Linked DNA regions of Arabidopsis thaliana. The protein of the gene in region 1 interacts with the protein of each later gene in a pairwise test. Each region holds a gene or a part of one and is shown on either strand. Other genes may lie near its edges. The genes, in order: AtRZ-1c, AT5G06770, AT2G44710 and RCF3.

Region 1 (5,676 bases):
TCATCTTCGTCGGAGCTGCCTCCGTAGTAGCCAACTTCAGCTGATTCTTCGAAGAACTGAAGAACCTCAGGGTTTTTGCGCTTCTTAATCCTCAAACCTTCATCTCTGAATTCGACGGAGTTTTTCCTTTTCTGTCCGCCGGAATACGAATCACTACCGGCGACCTGTTTACCCTTTCCCTTGCGATCCATCGTCTTCTTCACGGTTAGTTTAGGGCTTTCACAATTGCATTTCTTTTGAGAGACAAGTAGCAGAGAGAGTGAAGAAAACGTTTATAGATGTGATTGTTTTCCGACTTTTGAGTGGCTTTTTTTTTTACTCTTTACTCTTTTAAGGCCTTTTTATTATCCAATCGATTTGGACTCTTTATTGTTTTAATTAATTTCTCAACTTTTCTTTTGTCTCTACAATAATATTCTGCTTCGTTTTATTTGCCTATTTGGTAATAGATTGAACTTATAGGAAAAAACGAAAATTTTGACAATATGAAGCAATATGTACAGTATACAAAACAATAAATCAAAATTTTAGAATAACATGCGGATGCCTAAGACACTCGTCTCTTGTACATTGATGATGAAACTAAAAAGGCTAGTTATGTGTGCAAGGTTTAACATTGACTGACGAAGCTCAAAAGTCATGTTATGGTCCAAAACAAACCAAAAATAATAAAGGATCAAAATACAAAGCTAAACAGGTCCGCAAACTAATCATATATAAATAAAAAAGACAAGTCTTTTACACCTATAACGCTTACAGAGATATTCATTACCACAAGCAACACACACGACTGAGTGTATAGAGCTCTAACCAAGCATCATTCTCACTTTCTTTCATTAATGTGTCTTAATAACGGTCAAAAGTGGACGACGACGGATAAGCTCCACCACCACCACTTCTGCTCGGTCTCTCATAAGGAGCACCGGCTCTGCTTCTAAACCCTCTTCCCTCCTCTCCTCCTCCACGGATGGGACCACCAGCTCTACCACCACCGTACCTGTCACTGCCTGCACTCGGGGCTATGTCTCTCTCAAAGGACCGAGCTTTGTCATAGCTCCCTGGAGGATAACGGTCTGATCCACGGCTGTATCTATCACCACCTGCAAACCGATCAGCCGGGGCTGCATACCTGTAAAATCACAGATAAGAATAAAGTTATGTAAGAAAAGCAAGTCACTTTGATAACCTTACAATAATCTGAGTTGCATTAGAAACTTGATTCTAACCTGTCACTGGCGTATCGATCACGGGGTATGTAGGCTTCTCTGCTGTCAAACCTGTCTCTAGCACCATAGCGTGCAGCACCGTCGTATCGATCATCTATGTATCGTTCGCGGTCCACATAGCGGTCACGGTCAGCATAGCGGTCAACACGTCCATCAGATCCTCCATACGCACTAGCACGTGAAGAAAAACCACCAACAGGTCCTCCACGACCACCACCAGCAGAAGGACAATCACGGGCCCAGTGCCCAACCCGTCCACACTTGAAGCATTCATCTTCACCAACACGCCCACCTCCACCTCCACCTCCACCAAAGCTTCCTTTTCCAGCAATCGAGTAGCCACTGTCTCTGCCACCTCTAGAGCCATGACTTTCTCCATCATCTCGCCCCAGTTTTGGTTCAGCTCTGTTCACTGAGATGACCCGATCACCAAAGTCCCTTCCATGCATCTCTCTGATGGACTCATCCATAGCGCGGCGATCAGCAAAAGTGATAAACCCGAATCCACGTGAACGACCAGTATCTCTTTCCAGCATGATCTATACACAATACACCATAAAAGCTGATTTCCCAAAGATATATGCATACGTGTAGCTAAAAGTGAGCAGAAGGGCAGTAGTAAAATGAAACGATTGCAAAATCTGAAAGATCATATCAAGCCCATGTGACATCAAGAAACACCCAACCGTTTTAAGGTTCACTGCATAACACTGTGACCCTGCTTTGTGTAGTAAATAGTCAATCAACCTCAACTTCAGAGCAAAACACAGTACAGATCCCCAGAAACTGAATCAACTTTAAAGTAAGTCTCCAATCTCAAGCAGAGGTAGCAGAAAGCACTAACAACTTTTTCTCAGTTCAAAATGAAAAATTCCTCAATTTAAGCCCTTAGATAGTATACTAGTTCATCCCTATTCTCAACAGCCATGTGATGTAGTTGCAAAACTAAAGAGAGGAAGGTTTACAGAGAAGGAAGTCAGTTAATTAGCTGTACTCAAAATTACTGATCAAACATCTGTTTCTACTCAATATGCAGATATCATCTGACATTGATCCAGCTGAAGTCATTCAGATTCACTGGAGCTGACGATTCTTTACATAGCACCACAACCCACAGATCAGAAATACAGAATTCCTCTCACACAAAGAGCTTTATCAGGTTTCAGAAACTTCCGGAAAAGATAAGCACAGAGAACTGGGGTTGGTGGATATAGAAAATGTGTGGCCCAGGCACAAGAATCATTTTAATTGGCTTGCATTAGAAAATTAGGAAATTTGTAAGACTGAAAAAGAAGAACAGAGAAAGGAAAAGATCAAATCCATGTAACTCCTACTAGCCACACATGGCAGGAGAAGCGAGATGAGGTAAAGCAAACAGCCCACAAGAAAGACAAGTAGGAAATCTGGATAAGAAAAGGATCACCGAAACCTTGAGATCTCTGCTTCAACTGAGTGTAATTTTCCGTTCTGCAGGTTCATACTACGCTGAAGAATCCAAACTGCTTGCACTGATGCTCAGGGTATGAGGAGAAAACGAAATCTTGCGGCAAGACAACTGAATGTAGACTGGGATTATCCAGAAATATGACTACACAACGTAACTACTGCAAGGAGTTCCTAAATATCTTCACCACCTGAAGAAGAACTGAGACTCTGGCCTAAACTGGGTAGCATCTCGAATTGACCACTCAAAACCAAATCAGGTATCCCAGGCCAGCAAACAAACATTTAATTACTAGTAAGAGCAGTAACAAGGAACATTATCAGGAAGTAAACCAAAACCCAGTCACGGCATACTTAGAGAACTCAAGAATTACACATCTCAATCATGAGTTACGAAAAAACAGTCATCCCTCCAGAGCAAAATAAAGAATTTCCTTGATGATAGAAGAAACTGAAGTAACCAGTTACGACAGTCCCAACCTTGTGAAACACATTCCAAAAGTGTGGAAATCAATTTGCTCAGAAACTCAAACACTACTGTATATCCTAAAATCTCAGGCAGTTTAATTCTTTATCACAGAGTAGTTTCTCAACTTGAACCATGTAGCTCTGATCAATATCATCCCTAATTCATCAATCTATAGTGTTTCAGTGATACATTACCAGCATCCAGGAAAAAAAAGAAAAAAGGGAAGATCAATAAGTGAAAAGAGGAATAATGCAAAGCAAGACTTTTCAACTAATCCTCAAACGTCTCTGTATTTCTGTATTATTAGTGTAATCTCATTTTTTCAAGTATATGTTTTCACGATCAGCTCAAGCAAATATACCACTTTCAACTTAAAACATTCCAAAAATATTCATAGACATGTTCAATTCTTATCACAAAGCTTTAGATAACAATCTCTAAATTTCATAGGACTAGTGCAGGCACAAGCTATGATAAACTCAAGGAATAAAAATAGTACCAACCTACACAGAGAAGAACAAAACATAGAACAAAAATTTCAAATTGGTACCTGACAATCGAGAATGTCTCCGAAGCGGCTAAAAGCTCTTTCAAGGTCTCTATCTGTCACTTCCGGCGATAAACCACCGACAAAAATCCTACTACCTTCTTTTGCAGCCATTTTCACTCGTCTATTCACAGAAAACAAAACAAATTGAGGTAAACGAACAAAAAAATCTCCAACGACTAAACTCGATATTAATTCTAGAATTACACGAATAGATTCATCTTACCTCTCTCTGAATCGTATTGTTTCCTTCGCCTCTCAAAATATCAATGGCACGAAGAAACCCTAAAATGGTGGTGGTTGAGGTACTACGCCACGAGAAAGGTACACTACAAGTGCCTAAAGGCTCTGATGATTAACAACAGAGGCCCAGACCTAGGCCCAAATTTCTCTATGGGCCCAAGTCATAAGTTTATTCTGTTAAGCTCATGGATCCACCAATGACCGACCAGAAAAATAAGTCTTTTCTTTTTTCTGTATACTATAAATACATCCTTTAAGCTTGTAATGAGGCAAAAAAAAAAACAATTATAATTGTAGTTGAGGGTTTTTCCCAATAAGATCTCTTGCCAATTTTTACTTGAAAATTTGAACATGCATATAAAAATTACATCGAATATGTTTTAGCTGATCAATATATATTGTTTAGCTTTACAATAAAATAAGATATCAGAAGCTTTATTCCACGTGAGATCCAAGTCACTATGTGTAGATGACCTAATCACGCATTACCTAGCTAATAAACTAACTTTAACCAGCCCACAGTTTTGGAGCAAAACAACCTATAGGATTTGTATATTTATCATCCTAAGACAGAACTCCGACTATCCTGGTACACATTCTTCATTTTTAAGTGTATTTGCACCTAGTAACAAAATTTCTAATGCAAATAAAAAAAACAGTAATGTAAATAGCACAATTTCTCTCTTCTTCTTTTTTTTCTAAAACGTACGTTTAAACAATTTTACTTTTCATTACAAGACGAATGAATTTTTGTAGCATAATAATTTTTATATATTTCCATACAAATCTTAGGGAGGTATGTGATGGTTTAAGATATCACATATTATTCCGGGCTTTACATGTGTGGCATTATGTATAAAACGGTGCCTTTGCAACATCATGTGGATAATTACTAGCTTAGAAGCATCCATGTTCCCATGTGGACAGATATGTACTTGACTTTACGGTCATTACTTAAGCAAGATGGTTAAATATGGCTTAAAATTTGGAGGTATACAAAATTTGTATGGCCAAAAGGCTTTATGAACGAATTCATAAACTGTAATTGTAGAAATAGTCATCCGCAAATGTACAAGGAAATCGGTTTTGTTTTTCTTTATAGGAAAATTTGTTAAACTAAGTTTCCTTTCGAATTACTAAAATGACTCTCAAGATTCGAGGGAAAGTTTTATAAGAAATGCATATAAGAAAGTTTAATTGTAATTAATACCACTTGGATTATTAATTTAATATAATGATCCAGTTGGTGCTTAAACATTTTTAAACCTAACCAATATTATTTTGTACATTTCGAGAGATTCCAACAAATTAAATAGGTCATATATGACATAGATCTATAATAGTATATACTGTTACACTTTGATTATTTGACCTAATATACCATCTATTTAATGTCATCAAAAAGTTACATCTAAAGATACAAAAAAAAATCATATACTAAATTTGTGTAAATAAGATTCTAAAGTATAAAATACAGAGAAATGGAATATAAAACCAAAAATATATATAATCTATGATAATGTGGACAGAGGCAAAGGTACCAGGTTGTCTGCCATGATATGGGTAGATAACTCATCTTCCCAAACAAAATAATTGTGTGCGAAGCTTTTTACTATTGACAAATTTTAATACTTTTAGGAAATTTTTGAGTATCTATAAATTTTGAATATATGGTTACAAAGAATTATAGATGCTAGGGTTTCAAGACGTATGTTCTAATATCCTAACCTTTTAGAAAACTAGTGGTG
Region 2 (4,403 bases), 900 kb from region 1:
ATTAATAATAACCACAATTCTGTTACCTTTTCCTCCAAGGTAGCTTTGGTTTTGTCCATGCCAGATTTTGCAGAAGCTGCAATATTCGAAGCTGTTTCTTTCATCGACTGCATTTTTACCAAATCTCTCTCTTTTCCTTTAGCGAAATTCAAAGATGTTACAAAGATATCTTCTGATTACTTTTGTTTATTGTTTTGCTCACCGAGCATGTCCCATAGATATAGCCATAGGCCTCGCGTTCGTCACGATAGTTTAATATTTAATTACGTTCTTGACGACACGTCAGTGAGACGTGTCATGAAAGAAGAGGAAGAAGAGGTGGTAGGCTTTGTGTTTCAGTTATTGGTCCTACACGTGTTGGAAAGCCTTTGAGTCGTTGAGAAGATAGATGTTGACGCGTGTTAGGCTTTAGAGTTCGCCTCATGTCGGCGGTTAACCCGGTTTTGTAATCGATAGGTTAAGACAAAACAAGTATATTATTGTGCATGATATCTTAAGAGTTAAGACAAAAATAGTATGTAGCTGTAATATAAGGGTTTTAACATATCAAAGTCTTTTAACTGTGATCGGTAACTTACAGAACTCGTCGAATCTTCAGAGCTCAATACAGAATGGGCTAAAGTTTTCAAAGCGAGTCGCATAAAACAAATTGATAAAACAAAAAGAGAGAGCAAAAAGTCACAATGATAATGGAGCTAACAATGCATAATCTGTTCTCAAGAGTCTAAAGACATAACTAAGCGATTCCTGACCTGCGCAGCTCAGATTCACCATGAGCAAAATGGCATCTATCTCCATATGTACAGTTCCCTTTAGAGTACCTATCACAGATCTTGGTTTTGTAGTTGCTCCCAGGATGTGGTTTCCCTTCAGGACCACCAATCCCTTGAGGTTTCTTCACTGATCCAAGCCTCCCTATAAGCTCTCTCACCATCCCACTCGCTACATTGATCTGTTCAAATGTTCCTTCCAGCTCGATAATCTTCAAGTTTGGGTCTCTTTCATGATCTTTAATCGATAATTTTGCTCCTGTTTCACGGCATATCTGTTTGGAATGGATTCCACCTTTTCCAATGATGGCACCGGCTAAAGAAGCATCTACACTGATCTTGGAAGTAGAAGCACCAAAGATTGAAACAGGGCCTGATCCTGGATCTCCTCTCCCTGAGAATCTGCCGCCGGGACCACCAGATCCTTGCATATTTCTGGAAACTTGAGAAACCGGTGGTCGGAGATTTGTCATCTGCGCTGCAGCATTGTACCCACCGGGCACATAGTGCAAGAAGTGGCAATTGTCACCAAATGGACATCCAGAAGTGCTGCAGTACAAACCATAATGCATCAGCAAATTCATTCGAGAAAGAACAAAACGACACATCTCCAAGCTGTTGCACTATTGCTACCTTCTCGAAAAAGCTATAGCGTTTTAGTACAAAGATAATGAAAGAAATTTATAAAGTAATAAAACAGATTGTAGTCATTATGCATCACCGATGAACAACACGTTGCACAGGAGCCGAAAGACTCATGGATAGTTCAAAGATAATGCAAGAAGAACCTTACTTGAGAACAATGGTTTTATGCTGCATATGCAAAATTACAGTTTCCTTACCATCAAACAGAAGAAGAATAAACAAATTGTTTACAACGACAGCCACAAAAACAAGTTTTGGTTGATTTTGTATATTAGATTCACCAGTAGAGTTCAGTTCCAAAATTATACTCCATATAAGCTTATCATCCATTCTTAGGAGGAATCACAGTTTGTTACATTGACTTTTTAACTCGTTTAAGGATGAACAGTGCTACGTACCTGTATAACAACTATCCACTTCATTAGCACACTTTATACAGTATTACTTCTTAATTTCATGATCCAATCAGGAAAAAAAATAGATTTATAACCTGAAAAATTTAGTGCATGGCTTGGATTTGCTTCCTAAACCAGTTGAAATTGATTCCATCTCTGTTGCAAACATTAAGTGCTTTTACTTGGTTAAACTTTTCTACAATTTTCTCAATACATATCATTTGGACTTGGCACCAGTATACCATTCTGGTTTTGAAAATTTCCAGGGTTATAGAGTTTTGAAATTGAACTCAACAGCTTGAGTTGATACAGATCAATATATCAATCAAGTAAATCCAGTAATGTTGAGTGGTCACAAAGGCTAATGGGAGTTGATTGATGAATCCAATGAATATGAGAAGAAGGGTAAGCCAATAGCACAACACAAAGCAGAACAAGATACAAACTTCTCATATCAATTGTCTCCCAACTCTCAAGTAAGGTAATACCAGACTGAAGCAGAAAAAGGGTTTGCGACTAATCTCTCTAATGAACACAAAAATGAACAAAGGAACAACCTTTACGAGAGACAGAGCACACATTGCAACTAGAAATGAACAAACATAAGTGATACCAAAACATTCTCTCTTGTTGTGAAGATCTCGAATTTCTAAAACCCAATTGGAGACAATAGGAAGGAGAGGAGTGAAAGAACAAACCTTGCTTAGACCTCTTGAATCCGCCATTGGAGTTGTGAGAGGCAGCAGCTTCAGGGCGTCCTCTCTTACGAGCATCCATGTCTCGATAAGATCGATTGAATCGGAGTAGGTAGAATCGAAGAAAGATGAAATGAGATCTCAAAGTTTTGTGATATGAGCTTTGCGATTCTTATCCTTTTAAAATTCTATTGGGTTTATCATCATCATCATCATCTCCACACACACAGCTCAACAATATAAATGGGGGATAGAGGTTTGCTTAATTTGTTAATAATATAAATTAATTCGTGGAACACCAAAAGACCAGGAGACTAATTCCATTATTAATTATATGGATTACTATAAATTTAAAGTATATACATTAACATTAGAATGAATTTATGTTTTGACAATAATAGAGTTTATTTGATGAGACTGGAATCAAACTTGTACTCATGCAAGTAATAAACACCAAAAAAATATTCAACTCTGATTATTTGTACACATATTACTTTATATTTATTGTTAATTCACATCCAGTGGTTTCAAAAATAGAGAATTGTTAAATTTGCGCGTTTTAATTGTTTTATCATAGTCACATTAGTTTTAATATATTCAAAAAATACAGAAAAAATAATTTGGGTAACGAGTCATTTGTAGAAATTTTGGAAAAAAATCGTTAAGTTTGGCGCGTTTTAATTTTTTATCATAATCACAGTAATTTAAACTAAAAAGTAGTATTTTTTTCTGATAACTCTATCAATAACATTCAATCTAAAAAAAATACGGAACATATAATTTGAATAATCGATCGGTTTAAGATTGCCATTAAGATTGAACATATAATTGCCATTAAGAATTAAGATTGTCATTTTAACAAAAGAAAAATTATAAAAAATTTCTAACATCGGGTCGATAAGACGATAACCCTGATACTAATTTATTGTTAACCGTTCTTATAACCATTGAATATATTTTTTTAAAACAATAAAATAAATTGAAGTAAAGTAACCATTGAAATATTTTTAAAATTGAAGGATTCAGTGACAGGTGATTTATGTTGATCTCACTTTCCATCTTATATTCTTGCTAATTGAATCAGATTTTGAATGTTATGCTCAAAGGTCAAAAGCCTCTTCTCAATATTTACATGCTTGGTTCGATTCTTTTTACATTGTTTAGACAGGAATTGGGGATTTGAGCAAGTAAATTATTAACGATCCTGATGGCAAGCCTGATGATGATCACACAAGTTCAGAATTTTTTTTTAAAAATAGTGTTTTTACAAACAAAATTCCTAACGATTATTTTCATACATTCTGAAACCACAAATTAGAAGAATACTACTAATTGTTCATCATATATGAACAAAATCATTTTCTGGGATCCCTTAAAGCAAAACAGAAGAAAAAGAAATATTGCTAGTCATTTTTCCTAGGGGTGATGGTGTCATACATACTCACCCCAGCAGCATTGGAAGCTCATGCGAATACGGTTCTTCTCCATCTGGTTCACCAGCACAAATTATGTTGTTGTTAGTGATCTTAGTGCATGACAAATAGAAATAAACAAAGGCCGCTGTTCACATTTATTACCGCTTTCGTAATCAGAAGCATCCGTAAGCCTTGCAATGGCAGCAATAAGCGCCTGTTCATGTTCCTATATCATCCAATAACAACAACACCAAGTTTCACTTCACTGTTTCTTTCAATCGATATCTCGTCACAAAGTTCTTATCAATTATCATATCGCTCACCTTGAGTAGCTTCTTGGCCTTATCAAGCTCATGTGGATCAGGAAGGTTTGAATCAAAAACTCTCTCGACCTAATGCGAAAGATTTCGACATCAAAAACCCTTTTTGCCTAAAGAGAAACAAAATGCAGAGAGATAGAGATACCTACCTCTTTCACAAGTG
Region 3 (6,761 bases), on another chromosome or scaffold:
AGAATAAATCAATAAAATCTCAATTCTCTAGTCTTCTCCTTTAAACTAGAGTCGATGTCTAGCTCCAACGAACCACCGCGAAAAACCGACCAACCATCGTCGTCATCGGCATCGGCATCGGCATCGCCGTCATTGTTTTTGTCACTGCCACTGGAAATCATTTCGATGATCTTAGCCCGCGTCCCAAAACGATATTACCCAATCCTCTGCTCCGTCTCCAAGAACATGCGGAGTCTTGTTCGCTCGCCTGAAATTCACAAGGCTCGATCTTTACTCGGAAAAGATTATCTCTATATCGGCTTCATCGACGAAAATTATCGCCCCGTATACGACTACTGGTACACTCTCCGGAGAATCGAGAACAGTACGACCGAGAATCTCTTCGAATCCATTGAGTTCCCTTATCCTTCCGAGCCTAATCGATTTTCCATGAACGCCGTTGGTCCAAAGATCTTCTTCATTTCAGAATCTTGTACTCCTTCATCAAGACTTTCGATCTTTGACACCCGATTTGGGGAGTTGCGTCAAGGACCTTGTTTGCTAGTGAAGCGAGGGTACAATTGCGTAGGACTAGTCGGCGGTAAGGTCTATGTGATCGGAGGCTATCAGGACGACGAGATTGCAGCGGAAAGCTTTGATCTAAATACGCAAACTTGGGAAGCAGCGCCGATTCCCGATGAAAAAGAAAGTCACAGGTGGATTTGTAAAGCAAATGTTTCATTTGACAGGAAGGTTTGTGCTTTAAGATCTCGTGAAGGCATGACTTGTTATGACACTAGAGATGGTTCTTGTCAGAGATCTGAGATGCCTAATGATCAATGGTCTAGAGTAGGATTGTGCGTGATTGACAATGTGCTCTTTGTTTACTTCTCTAGATTCGGGTTAATGTGGTATGACTCTAAACTGATGCTGTGGAGAGTGGTTTATGGTTTTGATCTTGACAACGCTCGATCAGTTGGAATCGGGGAATACTACGGAAAGTTGGCGTTTATATGGGAAAAACCAAGTCTTAATGTTAGTGAAAGCAAAGAGATTTGGTGTAGAATGATTGGTTTGCTTAGGAGTGAAGTAGGAATTCATGGAGCTGCAGAACCGTCTCAACTTGTCGAGATTGTCCCTAACGGTTATAGAATGTGTCATTGTCTGTCTCTTTCAGGTTAAAACATGTCTAGTACTACTTTCTTTGGTGTAAAATGATTGTTTTGGATAGGAGTGAAGTAGGAATTCATGTGACTAAAGATGATGATGTTTAATACTTTCGTTAGTCTATATCAATACAATGTGTTACAAGATTATGAATGTGTTGCGGCGTTTACGTCTTCAACTCTCGATTTATTCAATTAATGTTGCAGTTTCAGCATCTTCCTCTGTTCCACCTAATCAAGTTTGTGTTATTGTAAACTCACTCAGTTAAGTGTATTTTACATCGGAGTTGTTGTGTTGTGTTTCTCTTGCCCATTAAACCGATTCCATCGAAAACTGTATTCTTAAACCGAATAATGCAAATATAAATTATAAACCAAGACGAAACCAAAAAAAGATAACCGAAAATGAATGAAAACCGGACTGAACATCGGTAATACAATTAGTCAACCAACACACTTGAAACTCCATACGAGTAAAGGCCCATTGGGGATGAGGATATTTGGGCCAATCCTTCTTACCGTTTTTCGTTTGTTAACAATTACCGAATTAAAAGCTTGATCGCCACGTCTTTTTCTTAATAGAATATATTGATTTTATTTATCTTTTATTTTTAGACCAAGCTCAGGCTATCATCTCTCCGTTAATTAGGGTTTTCTTCTCTATCTCGATTTCAATACCATTGTTGATCCGCTGAGCTAGGGTTGTTCGATCCCGATAATTGTGTCGCTTAGCTCTGATCTCTGTTCATCGAATTTGGTTAATTTGTTTTGATTGGTTAAGATACATTGGAAAGCGATGCCACCGAAGGTTGTGAAGAGGGGAGGCGCCGCGAGAAGAGGTGGGAGGCTTACGAGATCGGCGCTCAAGGCGCAGAATCCTCACGTGGAATCTTCCCATGACGAATCTGTTAATATCGGTGAGCTCTCAGGCTCCGATGCACTGGAAGCCAAGGAGGTGACTCCGGAGGTTGATAAAACTGTTGAGGAAGAGAATCCATTAGATGTGCCGAAGTCATCGGATTCAATTGATGATTCTGAAGCTGCAGCGAATCCGCATGTTGATGTTCCGTCGAAAAGTAAGATTCTTTTAGCCTGGTTATTAATTTTGTTTCGTTTTTGGGATTCTCTACGTTTTCGTTGTTTTGATGGATCTAAGTTTCGCTTTGACGAAAGTTTGTGACTTAGAGTTCCAACATATCTGACCATAGAGATTAAATGAATGTCTGACCATTGAATGTATGAATCTAATTTGGAGGATGGATGTTTAGCTGTTTTTAATTCTGTGGAAGATAGACGTATCTTCTGAGATTGTTATCTCTGAACAAACTTTAGGCTACCTGGAATAGTGTAGATGTTTTACTCGCTTTTACTCGCAGAGGAGACTGAGGTAGAGGAATCTGTGGATGATTTTGGAAAAGATGAAAGATTGGATTTAGATGACAATGAACCTGAGTATGAGGCTGAGGAATATGGCGGGGAGGAGTTTGAAGAGAGGGAATTGGGACAGGAGGACCATGAGTTGGTAAATGAGGAGGGGGAAGAACTGGAGGAAGAGATTGAGGTCGAGGAGGAAGCTGGTGAGTTTGCAGACGAGATTGGAGATGGTGCGGAGGACCTTGATAGTGAGGATGATGATGATGATCATGCTATTGAAGAGGTCAAGCATGGAGAAACTGTTGATGTGGAAGAAGAAGAGCATCATGATGTTCTCCATGAGAGGCGTAAGCGTAAGGAGTTCGAAATATTTGTTGGGAGTTTGGACAAAGGTGCTTCGGAGGAGGACTTAAAGAAAGTGTTTGGTCATGTGGGCGAGGTGACTGAAGTTAGGATTTTGAAGAATCCTCAGACAAAGAAGAGCAAGGGTTCTGCTTTCTTGCGTTTTGCAACTGTGGAACAGGCAAAACGAGCTGTTAAAGAGCTTAAAAGCCCAATGGTAATTGTCTACACTTTAGTATTTGATGGAGAGTTTGTGTAGCTTTACATTTTGTATCATGCTCTTGGTCATTGGGACTGCAGATAAATGGTAAAAAGTGTGGTGTAACTGCAAGCCAAGATAATGATACCCTCTTCGTTGGTAACATATGCAAGATATGGACCCCAGAAGCTGTAAGTATTTGGGTGTCCGTAGATATGTCAATTAAACCCAACTCCACAGTTCGTGGTGATCCTGACAATCAGGTATTTGTTGTTGTTCCAGTTGAGGGAGAAGCTTAAACACTATGGAGTTGAGAATATGGATGATATAACGTTGGTAGAGGACAGCAACAATGTCAACATGAATCGAGGGTATGCCTTTTTGGAATTCTCATCTCGCTCAGATGCCATGGATGCTCACAAGCGTCTCGTCAAGAAAGATGTGATGTTTGGAGTTGAGAAGCCTGCAAAGGTCTCTTTTACTGATTCTTTCTTAGACCTGGAAGATGAGATAATGGCGCAGGTACTCACATTGCAGGATCAATTATTTCTAGCAACTTTCATCCTACCATGTCTTCTTTAGAGCGTTGGAGGAGTTTATAGGGGCATGTGTGGGTGCCACCTATTCTGTATGGTGACTTAGAATACTTGCTAAACCCATCATGAAAACAGAGTCAGAATACATATTCCTTTTGGCCCTCTAACAACATGCTAGATACTGAATTATTGATTGTTGGTGAATCTATTATATCTAACTTATCTATCTTGCTCATAGTAATTAGTTTTATGATATTTCTGGTGTTACAGGTTAAGACAATCTTCATTGACGGTCTGTTACCTTCATGGAATGAAGAACGTGTTAGAGACCTTCTGAAACCATATGGTAAACTTGAAAAAGTTGAGCTTGCTCGCAATATGCCATCAGCAAGGAGGAAAGATTTTGGCTTTGTAACTTTTGATACTCATGAAGCTGCTGTGAGTTGTGCCAAATTCATCAACAACTCAGAGCTAGGCGAAGGGGAGGACAAGGTATGCATAATTTAAATGCATTATCCTTATCCACGAAGTATTTTCTTGCTTTCTAATTCTCTTTTTTTTTCCAGGCAAAAGTGAGAGCACGCCTGTCTAGACCACTTCAGAAAGCAGGTAAAGGCCGACAATCTAGTCGCTCAGACCAGCGGTCTAGGCATGGGGCTGGACGGTCTGGAAGGAGTTCATTTGCTCGTCTTCCACCTCGTAGCCTTGCTTCCTCTCGGAGTGCTAGAGGCGCTGGATCTCGGGCCCCATCTTCTAGTGCAAAGAGAGCTTCTGGATCAAGAGGAAGACGTCCTCGCCCACCTCTACCTCCGCCTGCAAGAGCTAGGCCCTTGCCTCCACCTGCAAGAGCCAGGCCCATGCCACCACCTGCAAGAGCCAGGCCCTTGCCACCACCTGCTAGGTCATATGATAGAAGACCTCCAGGTACCACTGGAATTATTACATGTTTAGTTATCTTTTTTAGTTGAATCTCTTTTGTGTTCATGTATCTAATGATTCTGATCATATCTTCCATATTGTGTTTTGCAGTTCCTCTGTATCCAAAGGCTAGCTTGAAGAGAGACTATGATCGGCGTGATGAACTTCCTCCTCCAAGAAGCAGACCAGCTGTAAGCTATAGTTCCAGGCTTTCTCCTGAGAGGCATCTGTCTTACAGAGATGATTATCCACCCCGGGGTTCGGGTTATTCAGATCTTCCTAGAAGTTCTTCTCGCTCTGAAATTAGGAGGCCATTCGTAGATGACCTTTACAGTCCGAGATTTGAAAGACCTCCAAGTTACAGTGAGGGAAGACCTCGTGCTTATGAACCTCTTCCTGGATCAAAGCGTCCATATGCTGCACTGGTCTGACTTATTGTTTTCTCCGACCAGTTTGTCTTCTTAATTTTGTTTCTTTAGACTATGATTGTTTACTCTAACGAGTGTTCATTATTCAGGATGACCTTCCTCCCCGTTATGCTGATGTTGATGTTCGTCATTCAAGACCCCGTCTGGACTATGATGTTGGCCCATCTCAATATGGGGAATCCTACGGGGACCGGTATGTTCTCTTTTTATGGATAGCTTCAGTTATTTTTGGTAGCAATTTTCTGTGCCAAGTGTATTATTTTCTTACTTCCATGTTTGGTCTAGGATTCCTAGGTCTAGTCTAGGATATGGAAGCAGCCGAAATTCTATGTCAAATCATGACTCGCGGGGCCCATACAGCAGTCGTCAGGGAATGGATTATGGAGGAGGTTTGATTCAGAACTTGGCTTAACAGAGAGCAATACTTCGTCGAGATACACTTACTGCCTTCAATGGCTATAATTTCATAATGTTGCTTTCTTCAGGTTCTTATAGTGGCAGCGATGTAGGAGGTATGTACTCGTCAAGCTATGGTGGCGACTTACCCAGAAGAGATGTAAGTGGCTTCACACTTTCCCCTTTTTTATATTTATTTTGGAAAGTCAAGTTGTGTAACATTTTAGTATTGGATTTACAGGGAGGAGGTAGCTCGTATTCTTCAATTTACTCCAGCCGTGGCTTGGGTGGTAGTAGTTACTCTGGTGGTGGTCCAGGATCATACTACTGAATGTGAGTGTGTTTGGTTCCTTCCATCTTTAGTTGTGTCTTTGTGCATTATTTTTTGGTTTTGTTTGTGGGATATATTGTTGGTTGGAAAGAAAACGGTATCTCCTCTTTCAAGCTCTAAGCAGGAACTATAGATCAAATGTGTGCTTAAGTTTGTTAATGGAACACAGAATTTCACATGACCGAGGCTGCTAAAAAAGGAGGTTTGGCCATGCAAAGTTGTGTATGTAGAAAGGAAGCTACCAGCTGCGAAAGGATTAAAGCCAGCTTCGGTGAGACTGTTGGAATATTAATGGGCTTGCATCTACAACTGCACTTGTATCTTTTTTCGGATGGAATGATAAGCTCGAGTTTTATAGAGATGGTTCATAGTTGTGGGACTCGTTATCTATCTTATCTATCTCTATCTCTTGAATAATGGATGGATTTGTTGGAACAGAGATTAAGCTGTGTTTGTATTATTGATCCATCAGTTTAGTTAAGCTTTCACCGTCTTCTCAGCTTAAGATTTGCATTACTTCTGTTTAGATCTGATGCTTGCTCTGTTTTACTCTCACTGTGGTAAAACAGAGACATTATCCTTGAGACTTGTGGAAGAGACATTAACAACCTCTCACTGTCGGAAACTGAGGAACTCCCAATTTTTATACACTTTATAACATACATAATCAAGCAGGGATACATTACTGGTGTTAGACAGATGCATAAGCTAATAAAAGCTCTTTCGATTTCTACAATCTAGAAAATTTGAAAATCACACATTAATTTAATTTATGGCGCCTTTTGATCAGGAGTCAGCTAAAGACGACGACATTCTTCTATCTAGCTTTCTTCTTCTTGTCTTGCTCCTCCGTAGTAGTATAATCTGATAAGCTTTTAGCAAACGCTTCCACAATTCGTTGTTGAGATTCCAAAATCATCTTTGTCCTCTTCATCTCTGTATCCATCCTCATCGCTTCTATCTCTCTCGTCATCTCCATTCTCGTCTGCTCTGTTCTCACCAACGTATCTCCAAGCAGCTTTATCGCACTAGCTATCTCCACCATTGGATCATTATCATCCTCCTCCGTCTTCATCATCATCTCTCTCCCTC
Region 4 (5,986 bases), about 20 Mb from region 1:
TCTGATTTCAATTCAACCCAACGAAATGTGAAGGAAATTTCAAAATCAAACGATAAAAATCATGCCTTTCAGAATCATTAAACCTCACCGTTGTAAGAATAACTTCTAATTTTCTGTATCGAACTCCTTGACAAGCGAAAAGGAGAGGATGATGAATCGCATTTTCATACTTGTGATAAGCTGTTCCTCTCGAGACTACATGCCGAATCACGTTTCTACTTTGCCCAACATAAGCCATTTTCTCGATTCAACAATATTCAGTGCGACAGTCTACAAAGAGAGATTCCACAACAAGGAGTGAGAAAACCCTAGAAAACGACGGATATAAGAGAACAGAGAAAACAAAAAGAGAAGTTAAGGAAGAATCAATCACCAGTGAAGCGGCAATGCTACGACGGTGGAAATGGCGACGGCGGTGCGATGCGACGTCTCTTTTTCACGAACTCGAAGAAAGGTGAAGCCGCAGGTGAGGTTTTAGCAGTGGCTATTTTTGTAAAATACGACTTAAGATTTATCTATGTTTTCACCCTAAACTTTATCTAGGGCAAAAACACCCCAATCTCAATGATGTTAACTCAAGTGAAACGCAGCGTTTAAGTTCTTCCAATATACATAGGGGTGGTGTGAATTAAAGATGAGTCTTTAATGATTAGTCATTCGGATTAAACTTTAATGACTTTTTTAAATAAGTTACAGAACAATGTAAACAAAGAAGACTAATAGACAACATAGAAACCAAAGAGTGATGGTCAAAATGTGGAATGTTCATCTAAACTACTGCTTACTGAAATCCTAATATTCAACAAGTCATACATAACTCCACATTTCTCAGTTTCTTGATCTTCATCTCTGTGTTGACTGATGATCTGGTCCAAGTTCACGGTCCATCCTCTTGTACTGCACCAAACAAGGAACGGAAATCAGACTTATAGATCAGTACAATACGGATATAAAAGTTTGGAAAGAGAGAAACTTACTGCTCAAAATGAAGCCTTGAAGCAAACTCTGAGCTCTCTCTGCTTGCTCGGGTGTACCCGAAATTCGAATGATATTCTGTGTTTCTTCTGGTCTGTCTTCAACTATGGTTACACTAGCTCCAGACCACTGTGATCAAGTGGGAAAGAGATAAGACAAAGCGTCAAAGATTTTGATTAGAGTCATGATTTGCACCAATCTAGTTCCAGTTAAAAAGAGTTCTACCTCACTGATTTGTGCAAGCTTGTTTCTTGATTTCGTAACGAGCTTAGGAACAACCGCCTCTGGTAAGACAACTTCAAGAGTGCTTCTAGTAACAAGTGGTACCGCCATTCTAGAGAAAAAAACAAAAAGCAGGAAGGAAAGGTGTGAAACAAGCACTTGTACGGTTTTGGGAAAATATATCAAATTTGGGAGTTTCTCTACCTGCTTGTCGTGACAGGAACCTCTTCCCGGTGTTCACTTTCACCCGCCTTTGCAACTGATCCGAAACCTTCCTATAAAAACCAAGAGAAAAATATATGTAAATATAGGGACATTGCACGAATGGACAAGAACCATAGACTACTTTCCAAGTATTCAGGTAATTATGCATAGCCTGATAGTAATATTACATTGTTTCGATGGCAAAAATAAGTCTGACCCTAACTGATTACAGATGCCTTTATATTGAAAAGATTGTTGATGAGAACAAAAACCTTAAACTGTGGCAAGATTGTGCTAACTTGCTGCAAGTTCAGATTCGAACTAGTAGGACCTTCACGAGATTGAATTGTGTTATTTGATGAAGCTACCTCCATTACTCCTGCAACACCTTCGAGAGGGCCAGTTGTGGATGTGGAAGCTGGTGGTGTCTCCTTTTGAGAGAGCTCCTTGAACATATGACTCCTCAATAGTAATGTTAATTCAACAAGTGCTTCCCGAGCAGCTCTGATCTCGCCAGTAATCTACATCGACATTCACATAAGAATTCTCTTTTGAGACCAGAAGTTGTTTAGAAAATGCTCGACTCCTCAAAAATAGACAAACATACCTGTATAACAACATCATTGATAGAAGCACATCGGGGAATTTCTTCCCTAGCTAGAATTTGTACGCTTGTTCCAGTTAATCGTGATATCTCAGATACTGATCCTGCTTTCCCTTCCAAACATATAGAGTCTCTAGATGGGACAAGTAATCTTGTTGTTATTAAATTATCTTTATCCGGAATAAGATCTATGATCTGAGTTTGAATGTGCAACAAGGCTTCTTGAGCAGGGAAAAATGGATCATCAGGTGCCTAAGCAAAGTAAGAATACAAAACTTCAAGTTCACAATTGTAAATGTAACAGATAATATTGAAGAAGATCTGAGGGTATTTAGAGTACCTCTTCCGAAGAAATGGTGATTATCTGTTCATCAGATCCAGCAACTGGGTCAGATACTCTAACGTCCACGCCGATCTCGTTCTGAAGCAAATCAATTATTCCTTGCGATTCCCCAACAACCCGAACAATCTTGTCAGCTGGGCAGAGAATCTGGAACACAAGCTCTTCGGAGTAGACATTCTCACCAACTGGAACTGCTGGAGCTTCTTCTGCATAGTTGGACTGGCGAGAACTGAAGTTGTTATTTCTAAAATTACCACGAGGAAACCTATCGGATGATTGTCTTCTTAGCTGTGGCATGTAATCATCCCCCGCAGCTGCAAACGACCGTTCTGGTGAATGTGAACGCCCTTGGAAATTACTCCGATCACGATGCTGACTCTCCCTTAGACGAGATGATACAATGGCTAAAGCGTTTTTCACTGCATTTAGTTCACCTACAATCTGAAAGAACCAACATTATAAATGCATTTCCCATAGGTAGAAAACACCAAAGAAAGCTTAAACATAACAAATAATGACCAAGCTAACTACATAAGAGTGATTCAACTCTTGTCAACAACCTCAACCTCACAATCACACATTTAAATTATCTAGCATTTCAATAAACTGACTACATTTCATATCAAAATCTCAACAAGATTCACCATTTCAAATATGTTCTCAAAATAGCAATTTTTCAGACCTGAACAATCTCTTCAGAGAGTGAAACACAACGAGGTAAGTTACTTTCTCTTGGAAGAATCCGAATATGAGTCTTAGTTTCAATCCTCATCTGCTCAATAATCTTCCCACCTTTACCCAACAAACAACCAACATGCATCCTAGAAACCACTAATCTAGTCACAACTCTCCCTCCACCAGGTCTAACTCCACCGTAATCCTCCTCCTCTTCCGGCGGAGGTCCACCATAACCAAACTGAGCTTCACTCTCCAAAATCCTGTCATGAACACTAAACAAAGCCTCTTGAGCAGGAGAGAAAGACGGCATTCTCCCATCAGGGTCACGCCTACGATTATCAGAAATCTCAATGATACGCTCTGCATCTCCAGGAACTAGCTCGTGCACGTTAATCCACGCGCCGGTGTGTTGCCTTATAGATTTGATAATTGTCCCGGATTTACCAATAACACCTCCTGCTTTAGCGTCGTGACAGAGGATTCGATAAGTCGTTGTTGCCATCGTTTCAGGATGAGACTTCGATGGCCGGCCATTTCCACCTCCACCACCGCCGCCGCCACGGTATCTGTTATTTCCTCCGCCGCCACCACCAAAGTGGTAATTATTGTTGTAGCGAGGTTTAGACCTAGGCATGGAATCTCCGTCATAGTCTTGGTCATAGTGGTAGTTTCTCTTGGATCTAGATCTCTCCATTTGAATAAAATCGCAAACCCAGAAATCAAAGTTCAAATCTTTAACTAGTCATTTATCAATCTCGCAGCAAATTTTTCGAATTCGAGGGTTTTCTGAAGGATTAGAAAGTTCACAAGCCCTAGAAGGAAGTCTACAGTACCCAATTACTTTCCTTTTTACCGGAAATTGAAAAAGGAAGGAACTTTCCGGTCAATTTCACAGGAATACTTGGAGGGAGAATTCAAGAATGTCCAAAATCGATGGAGGCGAATCGGTGCAATGCAAAAATCACCAGCTTTTTGTGTGTTTTGAGGGTTCTTTCCTGTGAATCTAAAAAGCCAAAGCTTTTTGAAGTTTGAGAGTAGAGAGAGACCGTGCAATGGGTGATGTTAGTGGCGTGCGCTAACTACGATATTAGCTACTCCCAAACGTTGTCGTTTTGGTCTCTTGGGAAATTTGGGTATGCTTCATCTTTAAAAACTCGTATTAAGCTAAATAAATTGTTAGACAAATGAATCGTCATCAGATTTTCGCATAGTTATTAGCACTGATGAAGATGAATTTTTGTGCTCACGTAACGTATTAGTAGATACTAAAAATGTATAAATAATTTTTTTCTAATAGGTAAAAATGATATGATTAATACGTAACCAATTAGATGATTTTTCGTGTTATGTACGAGACTAAAACTGTAGACACGTATGTGTTTTTTTCTAATTTAATTTTTAACTATTTATTAACCGCGGTATTATGTAATTAAGTACATATACTAAAACTGTTTTTGGAAAACAAAAAATCCTTTTAATATTTACCAGGTAAAGTATAATTGGTTTAGTGTTAAAGTTTAGCATATGGTAAAAATCATTTGGTGCATCTAAGTATTGCATCCGTTGAATACCATTTTCATCACCAATCCGTAAGGACAAAAAACGATTTACTATCCCTTTTCAGCAATTTAATTTGTATTGCTTCATTGACAAAATTAATTTTTCAAGAGTTTAAAAATAAAGAAACCAAACTCTCATTGCACTTTAAGTCTTTAACTAAATGATCACTTTTGATGAAAAAAAAAACTAAGGATCAGTTCACAAAAACAAGCAATAACAAATTAACAATACAAGAAAATCGTCTCGCACTTATGGTCAAAGACTCAAAGCTTAAGTTGTTGGTGGATCGTTTCGTCTAAATTGTGAGCCTTGACGGGCATAAGTACTTTCCAAATGATAGGTCTTCCCAACAAATATTTTCCGTTTCAGGAGAAGGTATTGCGTTTTCAGGTTGTGCTACGACAAGATGGTGACCTAAACTATATATAATGAAAAAGCAGCCACGAAGTCATGGAGGTTTTATTATCACATGTCCTGGTGAACAATTATCTAGTGTCCAGCATAAAATGTCAGTAACGATCTTGCCTTGTTTTGTGTCTCGATCTGTCTTCTCCTGAAACCACACCAATATAATATAAAGCAACGCGGATCAAAATAGCAAAACATTATAAAGTTCAACAAATTGAACCGGAGATTAAAATAGTGTAGTGACTACTTCAACAAATGGTCTAAGTTGCTATTGTTTTAGGTTAATGCTCCACTTGTGTTCAGACCCATTATCGCTTCTCTTATATATGATGCATATGAATTCCATTGACGTAGTACTACTTCTACTTCTAGCGTTTTTCACGTGCTATATTTCTATACAACATAGTTTTCTCGTGTAAAAAATTTGACCGTTGACCTTTGTTAGATATTACCCGCCAATAAAATCCAGCCGACCAATCCTACGTGGCAGTCCTAACCTCCACCCAAAAAACCGAACCGAACCACACCACAGACCCAATCTCTCTCTCTTCCGATAGAAAAGTCCTTTCCTTTCTTCTCCTCTTCTCCTCTCCGGTTATTCAAAATCTGATCCCACCCAGATATCAGAGTTTGAGAACAAAAAAAGCGATGCCGTTTTGCGAGGTCGTGAAAGAAGATGTCGGCCCAGAGACGACGCTTAACAATGCCGCAATCAAAATCTTCTACAGAACGTACGGTCATGGTCCTATCAAAGCTCTTCTCATCATAGGTCTGTTGTAATCTCCATCTTTCCCATTTGATTAGTTTCCTTAGCAATTCCGAGCTTGATTTCAATTGGGTTTTTCTAATTTTGTTCAGGTTTAGCCGGAACCCATGAGTCATGGGGTCCTCAAATCATGGGATTGACGGGAACGGATAAACCCAACGACGATGATGACGACGACGGAGGAATTGTTTCCGATGATTCCGGCATCGAGGTTTGCGCTTTCGAT

The links.
Region 2: the proteins of AtRZ-1c (region 1) and AT5G06770 interact in a two-hybrid assay, tested with the Arabidopsis thaliana proteins (one large-scale study listed by BioGRID).
Region 3: the proteins of AtRZ-1c (region 1) and AT2G44710 interact in a two-hybrid assay, tested with the Arabidopsis thaliana proteins (one large-scale study listed by BioGRID).
Region 4: the proteins of AtRZ-1c (region 1) and RCF3 interact in a two-hybrid assay, tested with the Arabidopsis thaliana proteins (one large-scale study listed by BioGRID).

What each region holds. Positions count from the first base shown.
Region 1 is NC_003076.8:1,190,584-1,196,259, reverse strand, and holds AtRZ-1c (RNA-binding (RRM/RBD/RNP motifs) family protein with retrovirus zinc finger-like domain-containing protein), read right to left. Parts: upstream 4,002-5,676; 5' UTR 3,912-4,001; intron 3,810-3,911; 5' UTR 3,800-3,809; coding exon 3,689-3,799; exon of another isoform or gene 1,766-3,688; coding exon 1,227-1,765; intron 1,130-1,226; coding exon 847-1,129; 3' UTR 501-846; downstream 1-500. Other genes in the region: KTF1 (kow domain-containing transcription factor 1), read right to left, coding at 1-191.
Region 2 is NC_003076.8:2,090,201-2,094,603, forward strand, and holds AT5G06770 (KH domain-containing protein / zinc finger (CCCH type) family protein), read right to left. Parts: upstream 2,802-4,403; 5' UTR 2,588-2,801; coding exon 2,509-2,587; exon of another isoform or gene 1,980-2,508; coding exon of another isoform or gene 1,967-1,979; coding exon 1,906-1,966; exon of another isoform or gene 1,379-1,905; coding exon of another isoform or gene 1,320-1,378; coding exon 737-1,319; 3' UTR 503-736; downstream 1-502. Other genes in the region: LEA4-5 (Late Embryogenesis Abundant 4-5), read right to left, coding at 27-113; EML2 (Emsy N Terminus (ENT)/ plant Tudor-like domains-containing protein), read right to left, coding at 3,947-3,993, 4,083-4,146, 4,244-4,312, 4,390-4,403.
Region 3 is NC_003071.7:18,430,961-18,437,721, forward strand, and holds AT2G44710 (RNA-binding (RRM/RBD/RNP motifs) family protein), read left to right. Parts: upstream 1-1,725; 5' UTR 1,726-1,941; coding exon 1,942-2,221; intron 2,222-2,272; exon of another isoform or gene 2,273-2,496; coding exon of another isoform or gene 2,497-2,521; coding exon 2,522-3,078; intron 3,079-3,161; coding exon 3,162-3,251; intron 3,252-3,342; coding exon 3,343-3,582; intron 3,583-3,866; coding exon 3,867-4,088; intron 4,089-4,162; coding exon 4,163-4,520; intron 4,521-4,625; coding exon 4,626-4,939; intron 4,940-5,031; coding exon 5,032-5,135; intron 5,136-5,227; coding exon 5,228-5,331; intron 5,332-5,427; coding exon 5,428-5,498; intron 5,499-5,579; coding exon 5,580-5,669; 3' UTR 5,670-5,671; exon of another isoform or gene 5,672-5,838; 3' UTR 5,839-6,261; downstream 6,262-6,761. Other genes in the region: AT2G44700 (Galactose oxidase/kelch repeat superfamily protein), read left to right, coding at 55-1,161; AT2G44730 (Alcohol dehydrogenase transcription factor Myb/SANT-like family protein), read right to left, coding at 6,487-6,761.
Region 4 is NC_003076.8:21,513,089-21,519,074, reverse strand, and holds RCF3 (RNA-binding KH domain-containing protein), read right to left. Parts: upstream 4,180-5,986; 5' UTR 3,721-4,179; coding exon 3,031-3,720; intron 2,790-3,030; coding exon 2,346-2,789; intron 2,258-2,345; coding exon 2,009-2,257; intron 1,923-2,008; coding exon 1,674-1,922; intron 1,473-1,673; coding exon 1,402-1,472; coding exon of another isoform or gene 1,398-1,401; exon of another isoform or gene 1,370-1,397; intron 1,310-1,369; coding exon 1,201-1,309; intron 1,105-1,200; coding exon 978-1,104; intron 898-977; coding exon 878-897; 3' UTR 528-877; downstream 1-527. Other genes in the region: AT5G53070 (Ribosomal protein L9/RNase H1), read right to left, coding at 89-238; AT5G53050 (alpha/beta-Hydrolases superfamily protein), read left to right, coding at 5,643-5,763, 5,853-5,986. UniProt on the Arabidopsis thaliana protein: Acts as a negative regulator of osmotic stress-induced gene expression. Involved in the regulation of thermotolerance responses under heat stress. Functions as an upstream regulator of heat stress transcription factor (HSF) genes.